Linked DNA regions of Callithrix jacchus. The protein of the gene in region 1 interacts with the protein of each later gene in a pairwise test. Links are inferred from orthologs where the notes say so. Each region holds a gene or a part of one and is shown in the gene's direction. Other genes may lie near its edges.

What was found. The genes of interacting proteins can lie anywhere in the genome.
Region 2: the proteins of FIP1L1 (region 1) and PRMT2 interact in a two-hybrid assay, tested with the Homo sapiens proteins (2 studies listed by BioGRID and IntAct). The link is inferred for Callithrix jacchus from reciprocal best matches to the Homo sapiens genes FIP1L1 and PRMT2.
Region 3: the proteins of FIP1L1 (region 1) and CPSF4 interact in binary tests that used the Homo sapiens proteins (3 or more experiments, as listed by UniProt). The two-hybrid records come from large-scale screens. The link is inferred for Callithrix jacchus from reciprocal best matches to the Homo sapiens genes FIP1L1 and CPSF4.

The regions. Positions count from the first base shown.
Region 1 is NC_133504.1:143,243,994-143,247,621, reverse strand, and holds the end of FIP1L1 (pre-mRNA 3'-end-processing factor FIP1), read left to right. Parts: intron 1-1,865; coding exon 1,866-2,003; exon of another isoform or gene 2,004-2,489; coding exon 2,490-2,637; coding exon of another isoform or gene 2,638-2,716; 3' UTR 2,717-3,128; downstream 3,129-3,628.
Region 2 is NC_133522.1:52,206,586-52,210,661, forward strand, and holds the start of PRMT2 (protein arginine N-methyltransferase 2), read left to right. Parts: upstream 1-1,276; 5' UTR 1,277-1,444; intron 1,445-1,517; exon of another isoform or gene 1,518-2,026; intron 2,027-2,402; exon of another isoform or gene 2,403-2,492; intron 2,493-3,190; exon of another isoform or gene 3,191-3,294; intron 3,295-3,648; 5' UTR 3,649-3,707; coding exon 3,708-3,746; intron 3,747-4,076. UniProt on the Homo sapiens protein: Arginine methyltransferase that methylates the guanidino nitrogens of arginyl residues in proteins such as STAT3, FBL, histone H4. Acts as a coactivator (with NCOA2) of the androgen receptor (AR)-mediated transactivation.
Region 3 is NC_133503.1:14,141,108-14,145,180, reverse strand, and holds the start of CPSF4 (cleavage and polyadenylation specificity factor subunit 4), read left to right. Parts: upstream 1-1,273; 5' UTR 1,274-1,438; coding exon of another isoform or gene 1,439-1,541; 5' UTR 1,542-1,789; coding exon 1,790-1,928; intron 1,929-3,960; coding exon 3,961-4,011; intron 4,012-4,073. UniProt on the Homo sapiens protein: Component of the cleavage and polyadenylation specificity factor (CPSF) complex that play a key role in pre-mRNA 3'-end formation, recognizing the AAUAAA signal sequence and interacting with poly(A) polymerase and other factors to bring about cleavage and poly(A) addition.

The DNA.
Region 1 (3,628 bases):
TTTGTGGTTCAGCCACTTATCAGAAAAGGGGATGGAAGGAGGAAGGTCTTTATATTTTGTGTGTAGGACTCAATCTTCTACCATCTGTTATAAGGTTCCCATCACAGGGCTGCTTTCAGAATCTAAAGGCTCCAAAGCCAACAGAGGTTGGTTTTAGGGTAAGTGGAAAAAGAGAGGGTTATAAATGATGCATTATGAGATAATTGACTTTAATTATTTCTATGTAAATCTAGTTGGAGTCATTGAAAAGCCTCACTTTTGGAGAGGAGTTAACTATATTTCCTATGAAGCTAGTTTATTCTACTTCAAGACATGGTAATAAAAAGTTCTGCTTCTGAAAAAATTAAGCACTAAATTCACCAAAGACTACCATTTATTGAGTGTCTGCTCTCATACCAAGCACTTTATAAATGTCAGTTCTACAGAAACCTTTAAAAAGACTGTTGGCAATTTTACAGATGAGAAAACTGAGGTTTAGAGAGGATAAATAATAGCCTGGGTCACTCAGTAAGTGACGAGATCAGGATGTGATTCTGTGTGTACTCTGCTTATACTCTTTTCTGCTGCTCTCTACTGACTGGCATGGCTATTACCTTTCAGGCAACATGCTTCCACACTCCAAGTACAAAGTTAATATTTATGGTGAGGAAAAATAGTGGAAATACATATACACATATGTGCAAATGGATATATTAATACATTCTGTTTTTTAAATAAGATTCTAAAATTTTAATATACCACATATAATAACTTGGTTAGCAGTACCATTGGGCATTAAGCATAGCATTACTGAATCATTACTTTTGCTAAAACACAGGCTGACATGTCTTTTAAAACATGGCTTATAATTGTCACCTATGTTAAACCCTGAGATTCCTTACCATCTTGATGTTTCATACAAATTACTAGTTTAATAATTCATATTAAACATTTCTAGAAATCAAAGCTCTTCAGCATACTCTTCTGAAAGATTTTATTCTAAGTGAATTTACTGTTAGGTTGTACAAGGTGTTGATTTCTATGCTAGACAAAGAGAAGAGAAGAAATAAGAGACTTGAAGGATAAGGAAAAAGATGGAAAGAGAATGTCAGTTAAGTGACATGAAAGGAAAACCGGTCTAGGGAAAGGAAAGACCACCCTCTAACACTAGCCATTAGTCTCAGTTTTACCAGTCTGTGTAATTCAATCTAAAATCAGAAAATGGAGATGCAGCTTACGCAGTTGAAGTTATTAGCCATGTGGTGCATGCACATGCGCGCGCACACACGTACACACGTAATTAGGGTGTCAGAATGCAGGTACGTCCAGTCTGCATTTTGTATGGATACTGTAGAAGTTGCTTTGATGTCTCTTCTCTATTTGAATATTTTTTAATGATAAACCTAAAGTTTAAAAACTTCGTTTGCTTTCTGCTTTGTAGTCATTGGGAGTTGTATATTTTTATAATGTTTTATGTGTGTCCAAGACTCTAAGAATGTTGGTTAGAAATCTGAGATATACAGATAATCTAAAAGGAGCAAAAATTTTAAAAGCTGATAATTTAAATCAGTTGCAGATCTCATTTTCAAGAAACGAAAAAACAAAAGCATTGTTAAATCTTTTTAACAGCAATGAAAGCACAGAATGAAATTGGCCATTTAACATGGGTAATTATTATATATTTATATTCTTAGCTCTAGTGCTATTTTGAGAACAAGCATTGTTTTCCTCTCAATTCAACAAATATTTATTCCTCACCAATGTTGTAAAAGATGCTAATGTAGGGATTTTTGGTTTGGACTTCAGATCATATTTTCTTTTACAGTTTGAATCCATTCAGAATTAATGGTCCAGTTGTCAAGAAAACATTTCTATTTCTGTTTCAGTGATGAAGAACGCTACAGATACAGGGAGTATGCAGAAAGAGGTTATGAGCGTCACAGAGCAAGTCGAGAGAAAGAAGAACGACATAGAGAAAGACGACACCGGGAGAAAGAGGAAACCAGACATAAGTCTTCTCGAAGGTTTGCTCTTTAATAAATAGTGAACCAGTAGTATGTGAGAGATTTTGACTTACTACATTATCACATTGGAAGAGGGGAAATTTTGGCCTATGAACCAATCTTTAATAAGTTATGAATCAAAGCAGTGCTTGGTTTCATTAAAGAAAAATTCAGGGCTTTGTTGCACATTTTTTTAAAAGCATTAAAATAACTATTGTTTGCCAGAAATCAACCCTATACAGTATTCCCAGTAGTGCTTGTTTCTGTTACTGTAAATTATAATATGCATTTAGAATAAGCTGTATAGACACTGGGAATCTGAGATATCAGTGAAGATGACCCTATAATATAATCACTACATAAAAGTCACATAAAAACTGATTATTCCCCACACTGCATTTATGAGAAAATGCATTATTTTAAACTCAGTGTTGTTTTCAGAATTTCCTTAGAGTGGTTTTGTCACCGATTGTGCATTTAAACAGAACACGTTTTGTTTTTTTTCAGTAATAGTAGACGTCGCCATGAAAGTGAAGAAGGAGATAGTCACAGGAGACACAAACACAAAAAATCTAAAAGAAGCAAAGAAGGAAAAGAAGCTGGCAGTGAGCCTGCCCCTGAACAGGAGAGCACCGAAGCTACACCTGCAGAATAGGCGTGGTTTTGGCCTTTTGTGTCTATTCGTACCAGAAGTAGATACTATAAATCTTGTTATTTTTCTGGATAATGTTTAAGAAATTTACGTTAAATCTTGTTCTGTTAGTATGAAAAGTTAACCTTTTTTTCCAAAATAAAAGAGTGAATTTTTCATGTTAAGTTAAAAATCTTTGTCTTGTAATATTTAAAAAATAAAAAGACAGCAATGACTTTATATCCAAGAAAGGAATGTGAATGAGTCACTTAACAGGGAATCCAAAGAGCCTGTGTTAGCTTTGTACCTATACAATATCTGATAAAAGGTCAAGGTTCCACCTTAACCAGTTTTTGTTGTTGTTAACCAAATACCAGTCTTGTAAGAGGCTGTACAAGAGGCAACAAAGGGTCCCTCTAAGGCTTGAGATTAAAACTAGTCTTTATCATTACTGCTGTGACACTCTTGCTTAGTATCTTAAGAGAATTTTACTTACTTACACATTTTCGATATCACAACTTTTTGATGACAGCTTTTCAATGTTCTAAATTTGGGTTCCTGGTGAAGCTAAATGGGGTACACTTTCATATCCAGATTAATAAAACCTATAAGGCATTTGGGTGGCCTCTATGAAATAAATTGCCCTTAGCGTAGTTTCTAGGAGGCACATGTACAAACACTCTTTATTGTGACACACACAAATTATTTGAATCGCCTCATGACCATCTATAAAAGCCAGGGTCAAGCTGGTTTGGCCTTTGTGATGCGTTTTCCAAAGCCCATTGGTAGAGGAGCACAAGTTTTTATGCAGTTACTAACTATTGTGGAAAAAAATAAGAGCTTTAGCCATTTCGTATTAAAACTAAGAAAACAAGTTTCTAATTCTCTGAGCATTTTTAGGGATAACCCTAGGAGATATTTGTCAGTGATGGTAACAACATGATATTTGAAAGAATAAATTACTAGGATCTTTTAAATGGTACTATAGGTAACCTTAATTAGTATCACATACTAA
Region 2 (4,076 bases), on another chromosome or scaffold:
GAATTTTTAGAGATTTAGAGCAACCTAAGGTGACTGAGTTTATAAATTTTTGGTATCCCTGAGGGCTAAGAGAGATGAAAAGGTTTATAATATTTAATAAAATAATAAATGAAAAATTCCCAAGTCTAGCAAGAAATTTAGATATCCAAATATAAGGGGCTCAATATTTTCCAAAGAAATAAAATGCATAAAGGACTTTGCCACGGGAGATGACAATCAGACTGTTTAAAGTCAAAGTGAAAGAGAAAATTCTGAAAACATAAATAGAAAAGTAAAGTGTCTTGTCACCTATAAAGGAAAGCCTACCCGACTAACAGCAGACTTCTCAGCAGAATCATTATAAGACAAAGTCCTGAAAGAAAAAAAGGGCAGCTAAGAATTTTATAGCCACCAAACTTAACTTTCATAAATGAGGAACAAATGTCTTTCCCAGATAAAGAAATGCTAAGGAAATCCATCACTACTTGACTGGTCCTACAAGAAATGCTTAAAAGAGTCCTAACTTGGAAGCAAAAGGATTACATTAACCATTATGAAAACACGCGAAAGTATAAAACTCATAGGTAAAGTAATTACACAAAGGAGGAAGAGAAAGGAATCAAGTGATACCACTATAGAATTCCACCAAACCACAGTTACAGAAAAATAAAAATAAAAAAGCAATAATAAAACAACTAGAAAACAACAATATGGCAAGGACAAAACTTCAGATATTAATATTAGCCTTGAATGTAAACTAATTAAATGCTCCACTTAGAAGATACAGTTTGGTGGATTGCTGTCTACCATCCTAGGAGCAGGGGGGAAAAAACCCTCATCTTTCCTGTTGGAAGTGAGCTCAAACTCCACAAAGGAGTTACCTGCCTTTTCTTGCCATGGAAGCAGGAAAAAACTTGCCTTCCTTGTGTTGGATGCAAGGACCCCTGTCCCCCTTCCCCCCCACACAAAAGGAGCTGTACAGCAAAATAAACTTTAGAGCTTGACCAAATCTGAGTAGATCAGGGATTCTCTGGAGGGATTGCTTCCATGCCTCAGCAAATTCTCCTATTTGTTTGAGCCATAAGGATAGCTCAAACTGGTACCAAAGACCGATAGGAGATTTGTCAAAGCCCTTTGGGGTTACCAAAATGTGAATAGTAGAATACCTCTACTCAGAAGCCCTTTGGGGTTACCAAAATGTGAATCTCAAATATCTGATACAGGTCTCGGTCCATTTAGGAAGTTTATTTTGCCAAAGTTAAGGATGCATGTCCATGAAACGGCCTCAAGAGGTCCTGAAGACATGTGCCCAAGGTGATCAGAGCACAGCTGGTTTTATACGTTTCAGGGAGACATGAGACATCAATCAAGATACGTACGATGAACATTGGTTTGGTCTGAAAGGTGGGACAACTCGAAGCAAAAGAGGGATAACTTGAAGCGGGAGGCGGCTTCCGGTTCACAGGTAAGTAAGGGACGTTTGCATTCCCGAGTTTCGGGTTGGCCTCTCCACGGGAGGTAATCAGCTATGCACTTACCTGAGCAGAAAGATGACGCTGAATAGAATGGGAGGCAGGTTTGCCCTAAGCGGTTCTCAGCTTGACTTCCCCCTTTGGCTTAATGATGTGGGAGCCCCAAGATTTATTTTCCTTCTACATTTTCTATCAGACCTACGGTCTGCCTTGATGCTAACGCCGGAGGAGTATAGTAAGGCTGTCCAACCCCTCCTTCTCCTCAAGGCCGGAACAGTCCCTCAGGTTGAATTTCAGGGTGTCCTGGTCAAGGAGGGAGTCCGGTCAGATGGCTGCAGGGGGCCCTTCGAATTTATGTCTGTTTTACAGGCATCAGTGCCGCCCATTTCTCATGAACCCCACACTTCCTCTCAGCAAAACAGAAACGTTATCATTCTGCTTCCATTTGTCCAGAAGAAAGGCAGAGGGCGCACACTGTGCAGCGCGGATGGGAAAGTTAATTGAATTATTTGAGAGAAAACAGGAAGACGTGCGCGGGCGCGTCCTCCACGGAAGCCTCAGCCATTTTGTGGCTCGTAGGGGTTCTGTTTCCCAGGCCGTGAAGTGCCCAGCTCCGCCCCCCGCCCTAGGTCGGACTCCTGCCCACGCCCTGCACCCCGGGTCGGACCCCAAGCCGAGAGACGCGGCTGGGCGGTTGGGGACAAGCTCTACACATGGGGGCGCTCGGCCTCGGGTTGGCACGACCGCAGAGGCGCAGACATGCAGTGCGCCTGCGTAGGACGCTGTCCTAGCTACAGATGGTCTGTGCGCAGTGCGCCTGCGCGAGCCGAGGGCGGTGGCCCGGCTTCCCAAGAGGGCGGGGCGTCTGGGGACGACGCCTGCGCGGGGGCGCCTGGCTGTGGGCTGGGCCTTCTCGGCTGACGGCCTGCGCGCACTGCGCTTGCGCGGGTTGAGGGCGGTGGCTCAGGCTCCTGGAAGGGACCATCCGCCCCTCGGCACTGGCAGTGTGAACGCGCAACTCAGCGGAGAAACGCGGCTGAGGTAGGTTTCCTGATGGGCAGCTCAGGCGGCTGGACTGCACGTAAGGCAAGACAGGCCAGGTGAGGCGTCCTCGCACTCCCTGTACGCCGCTGGCAGACTTAGGCCTCCGCCCCCCTTTGGGACCTCCGATCGCCCTCGCGTTGTGTGCTTCCTGTCCTGGCGTCCAAACGGGAGCTCGGCCCTCGCCACACCCTTCCCAGTGCGCCGCGCCCCCTCCCGGCCACGCCCACCACCCAGCGCCGGCTCCGGCCACACCCTCCGCGGTCACGCCCACCTCACCACCAGCCCTGCCACGCCCTTCGCGGTTACGCCCCACGGGCTAGGCGATCTCTGTCCTGAAGCTCTAGGCGCGCTCGCAGCCTGACCCTGTTGTGCTCCTGCGTCCACGCGCGGCCCCCTCGCTTCTTGCCCGCTTCTTGCCCCGTTCTCACCCGCCTTCATTGGCCACCTGTTCCCACTCCCCATGAGCCTGTTCCTCCCAAGGGCATCTTAGGTGGGCCCGGATCCTGCGCGCACCCCAGCACCCACTCCAACCCATCCCAATTTGGACGCCGGTTTTCCAATGAAAATATAATTCTGTAAATCAGTATTTGTAACTATGAACATCACAAAAATGAGCATCAAGTCTGAATTTAGAAGTGAAGCTTGCATTTTAAACAAAGAATTGCCATGCGATTGCAAAAGCACATTCGTCCCAGAGCGGAGTGTGGGTTACACTGTTACTGGAAAAATAAAAATTGAGAAGGAAAAGACCGGAAGATGCACACCTTCGTTCCTGTTAGTGGAAACACCAAAGTCCCAGGTAGGGACTTTCAATTGGAATTAAAGCTGTCACATTTCTAAGAAAAGAATGAATACTGATTTATATTGCTTTAAGTCGACATTTGATCTGACAGAAACTAACAGGCTTCAGCGAATGAGTAAGATTAACACCTTGTGGACTAGTGAAGAAAACACGCACTGTTTGAAGTTTATGATTTTTAAATGCTTTTGTCTTTGTGAAGAATTGTGATTATAATTTTCACTTCTATACCATTCTTCGCACATACACATTTTATTTCTATTTGGTAGAGGACCTTTGTCATGGACCTTAGAAGTTAAGTGAACTTAATTATTAACGTGGCAAGTACTTTGTGTCTCCTTCTCTTTTTAAAAGTAGAAATGGAGAAGAAAATGAAATAAAGCAGGAGTTATGAGGCAGAGCCCAAGAGAACTATGGCAACATCAGGTGACTGTCCCAGAAGTGAATCACAGGTAATTTCGGTTCCAGTTCCTAAAAATCTGTGTTTAATGAATGGGAACATTACAGAGAGTTAAGTGTCACCTCACAGATGTGATGGAACTTGACTTGTGCCTTGGAAGGTGGCCACACAGTAGAATGCTTAAATGTGAAGATTGTGAGGCAGAGGAGACGCGGTGTCTGTAGGATGACATCCTGCACTGGGCACCATCAACCCTTCCAAAGAAATAGCCCCAAAACAGCAGCATCATTTAGGCTTCCATTTTTGGTACGTGAACTGGCAAAGCAAGCATATTTTCTGAGCTGTTCAATAAAATTTCATGCGTAATACCAGCAATATATCG
Region 3 (4,073 bases), on another chromosome or scaffold:
AAAAATCCCTGAATTAGGCCATACAATGGCTCATGCCTATAATCCCAGTACTTTGGGAGGCCCAGGCAGGAGGATTGCTTGGGGCTCGGGGCCAGGGATTCGAGACCAGCCTGGGCAGCATAGCAAGACCCCCAACCCCTCCCACAAAAATTAAAAATAAAATTCACCTAGAAGGGAATATGGGGGCCCACTTTTTTGGTACATGTTCCACCTCCCTTTCCTCTTGTACATAAACCCCAGACTTTCCCTTCCTCAACAAAGGCTTGAAGCACAAAAAAATTAAAATGAAAATAAAAATAAAATTCAAATAATTAGCCAGACGGGCTCAGTCGCTCAAGCCTTAATCTCAACCCTTTGGGAGGCCAAAGTGGGTGGATCACCTGAAGTCGAGAGTTTGAGACCAGCCTGACCAACACGGAGAAACTCCGTCTTTACTAAAACGACAAAATTAGTCAGGCGTGGTGGCAGGTGCCTGTAATCCCAGCTAATCGGGAGGCTGAGGCAGGAGAATCGCTTGAAACTCGGGAGGCGGATGTAGCGGTGAGCCGAAATTGCATCATTTCACACCAGCCTGGTCAACAAGAGCGAAACTCCGTCTCAAAAAAAAAAAAAAAAAAAAAAAAATTAGCCAAGCGTGGTCGTGCAGCGTCTGTAATCCCAGCTACTCCGGAGGCTGAGATGGGAGGATCGCTCTAGCCTGAGACGTTGAAGCTGCAGTGAGCTATAATCGCAACACTGTACTCCAGCCGGGGCCACAGCGAGAAAAGAAAAAATCCTCAATTAGAGACACGATGAGGCCGTCCTTCCTCGGAGACCCGCTCTTCCTCAGACGCCCACCTGGACCCTCAGGCCAACGCCGAACCCTCTCCACACGGACCTTTGCAGCCTCAGTTTCCCTCCTCTGACGCTCCCGGCTCCAATCCTGGCTCGGACACTTCCTGCCCCTCTGGTGTGTCTGCCCAGGTCCCGGGGCTCCTGCGAGGATCACACAGGAACTCACGTGAAGTGTCCGGAGCAGTGCTCTCCGCCGGTGCGCCCGCGTCGCGCCCTGCCAGATCCCCGCAGCGCACCCAAGTCTCCCTCGGGTCACCTGCTCCCCGGGTGCGCAGGCGCAGTCCGCGTCGCCGACTCAGGCGTGTGGTTTCGGGTTTCCCGAGAAGAGAGGCCGGCGTTCGGCTGGCGGCTAGCCGGGACTAGCGGAGCGGTGGGACTCCGCGCTCGATTGGCCGGTCCTGGACAGGCGCTTGGGCCGGCGCGGGCTCCGGGCGCTCCCGGCATCCCTCGGGTGGCGGCGGCGGTGGCGGCGGAGACGGCGGAGGAGGCGAGGCGAAAGAGGAGCGTGTGCGGCGGAGCCGGCAGCTGGGCCGGCAGCGGGTAGAGGCGAGAAGACGGCAGGAGACCTAGGGGGAACCGGGCCGGTGGGGCCGCCGTCGCCACCATGCAGGAAATCATCGCCAGCGTGGACCACATCAAGTTCGACTTGGAGATCGCGGTGGAGCAGCAACTCGGGGCGCAGCCGCTGCCCTTCCCGGGCATGGACAGTGAGCGCGGGGCTCAGGCGGGAGGGCGAGAGCTACTCGGACCCAGGACTCCTTCGCCACGGTCTTGAGACGACCCCCCCACACCCCCGCCTCCTCTGGATCCTGGGACCCCTCCCCTTTGGTCCCGGGACTCCTCCCACTAGGTCTTGAGAGTTCCTCCCACCTCCTCCGGGTCCTGGGACCCTCCCCTTTAGTCCCTCCTCTGTGGTTTCGGGACTCTTCCCACTCTATCCTGAGACCTCTTCTGGATGCCGGGACCCTCACCCTTGGTTTTAGGACTCCTGAATCCCAGGCCCCCATTTCCACCGTCTGGGGACCCCTTTTCCCCTCACTTGGACTCAGGAGTTCACTGCGTCGGATTTGGCCTCATGCGGCGGCGGTTCAGAGGTAATCTGTAGGAGGGCAGGAATTTGTTCGCTTAATTCTTGAATAAAGGTGGGTTATCCAGGATTGGAACTCTCCCTCAGCACTCTCCCAAATACAGAAGAGTACTAGGGTATCCCACTCCCTACTTCCCGCCCCCCCGCCCCACGTTGAAAGCAAGAGTATCTCTTCTTGCTTTCTTTAAAACGAGGCGTTGGAGGAGGCCTGCTGAGGGAAGGACCACCTCTCTTTAGGAGACCCCAGCTAGACTCTCAGAATCCCCTCTAGGACTCATTCTCTTGGGAGCTCATCCCTAATTTGGGGCCTGTCTCCACTTTTTTCTGGACCTCAACTCTGAGTTATCTATCACACCCAGCAGCTGTATGGACCCTTGGCCTGAATGAACTTCCTTCACTCCTTCCCTTCGTGTGGTGACCCCTGGCTCCCCACCCGCTACTCAGTGGAATATCTTGTACTTTAAAAGAAACTAGTCGTTTTCTTTGTGTCTTCTTTTTTTTTCAAGACAGAGTCTCGCTTTTGTCTCCAGGCTGTAGTGCAGTGGCGCAATCTGGGCTCATTGCAACCTCCGCCTCCCGGGTTCAAGCAATTCTCCTGCCTCAGCCTCCCGAGTAGCTTGGACTACAGGCACGCGCCTCCATGCCCAGCTAATTTTTGTATTTTTTTTAGTAGAGACGGGGATTCACCATGTTGGCCAGGATGGTTTCTATTTCTTGACCTCATGATCCGCCCACCTCGGCCTCCCAAAGTGCTGGGATTACAGGCGTGAGCCACCACTCCTGGCCTTCTTTTCTATCTGGACAAATTTGAAATCTAATGCTATAACCTTAAAGTTTGGGGGCTGGTGGAAGTCACTGAGTTCAATCCAAAGATGGGGAAACTAAGACCCGGGTGGGGTGGGGGAAGGGACTTGCTGATGACCACCACTCAATGGATGGCAGACCTGGGGTCTCCTACAGAGAGGTGGTCCTCCTCAGCAAGCTCTCCAGTGTTCTGTGCTGTCACCTACAACTACCAGTGGGGTCTCCCACCTCTCCCAGCAGCCTCCCTCTCCAGCAGCCTCCCTCTCCTCAGGCAGCCATGCCTTGTCATGCACATGTGACTTCTAAGTCTGTCCTTTCATGTGGTTTTTTTCTTTTTGTTTGTTTGCTTTTGAGATAGGGGCTCCCTCTGTAAGTGTAAGTGCCTTGGTGGCGTAATCACGGCTCAGTGCAGCCTTGACTTCCCAGGCTCCAGCAATCCTCCCACCTCAGCCTGCTAAGTAGCTGGGACCACAGGCATGCACCACCATGCCTGACAGATTTTTTTTGTGTGTATTTTTTAGTAGAGACACTGTTTTGCCATGTTTCCCACGGCTGGCCTAGATATATTTTTTTTTCACTGCCTGCCCCACAAATTTACATGGTGACACTTCTATACAAGATAATTTCACTGGGCAGGGCGTGGTAGCTCACACCTGTAATCCCAGCACTTTGGGAGGCCGAGGTGAGCGGATCACCTGAGATCAGGAGTTTGAGACCAGCCTGGAAAACATGGTGAAACCCCATCTCTACTAAAAATAAGAAAATTAGCTGGGCATGGTGGTGGGTGCCTATAATCCCAGCTACTTGGGAGGCTGAGACAGGAGAATTGTTTGAACCCAGGAGGTGGAGGTTGCAGTAAGGCAAGATTGCACTATTGCAGTCCAGCCCAGGCAACGAGTGAAACCCCATCTCAAAAAAAAAAGGTTATTTCTGTGTATTGTACTCCAGCCTTCCTTTCCCCACCCACTCTTAACTCCTTGAAAGGATCTTGGTATACAGGAGGCTCTCAAAGCACTGGGTAATGACTGCCCTCAATATATGTGTCTCATTTCAGGACATGACTAATAAAAGCAGCTTCATCCTTGGTGGGGCTTTGCATGTTTTTGCTACTTTATTTCCTGTACCCTGAACCCTTGGTGGGTCAGAGGTCAGAAGGGCTCCCTCCCACTGTCTTCAGACATAATAGCAATTGTACCTCTTTGTTTCATTCTTCTCCTTTTCTCTCCATTCTACAGAGTCTGGGGCTGCTGTCTGTGAATTCTTTTTAAAAGCTGCCTGCGGCAAAGGTAAGAGACTCCAGGCTCCCTGATGTGCCTCCTGAGGTGCCCTCCCACCTCCTTGTCCCCAG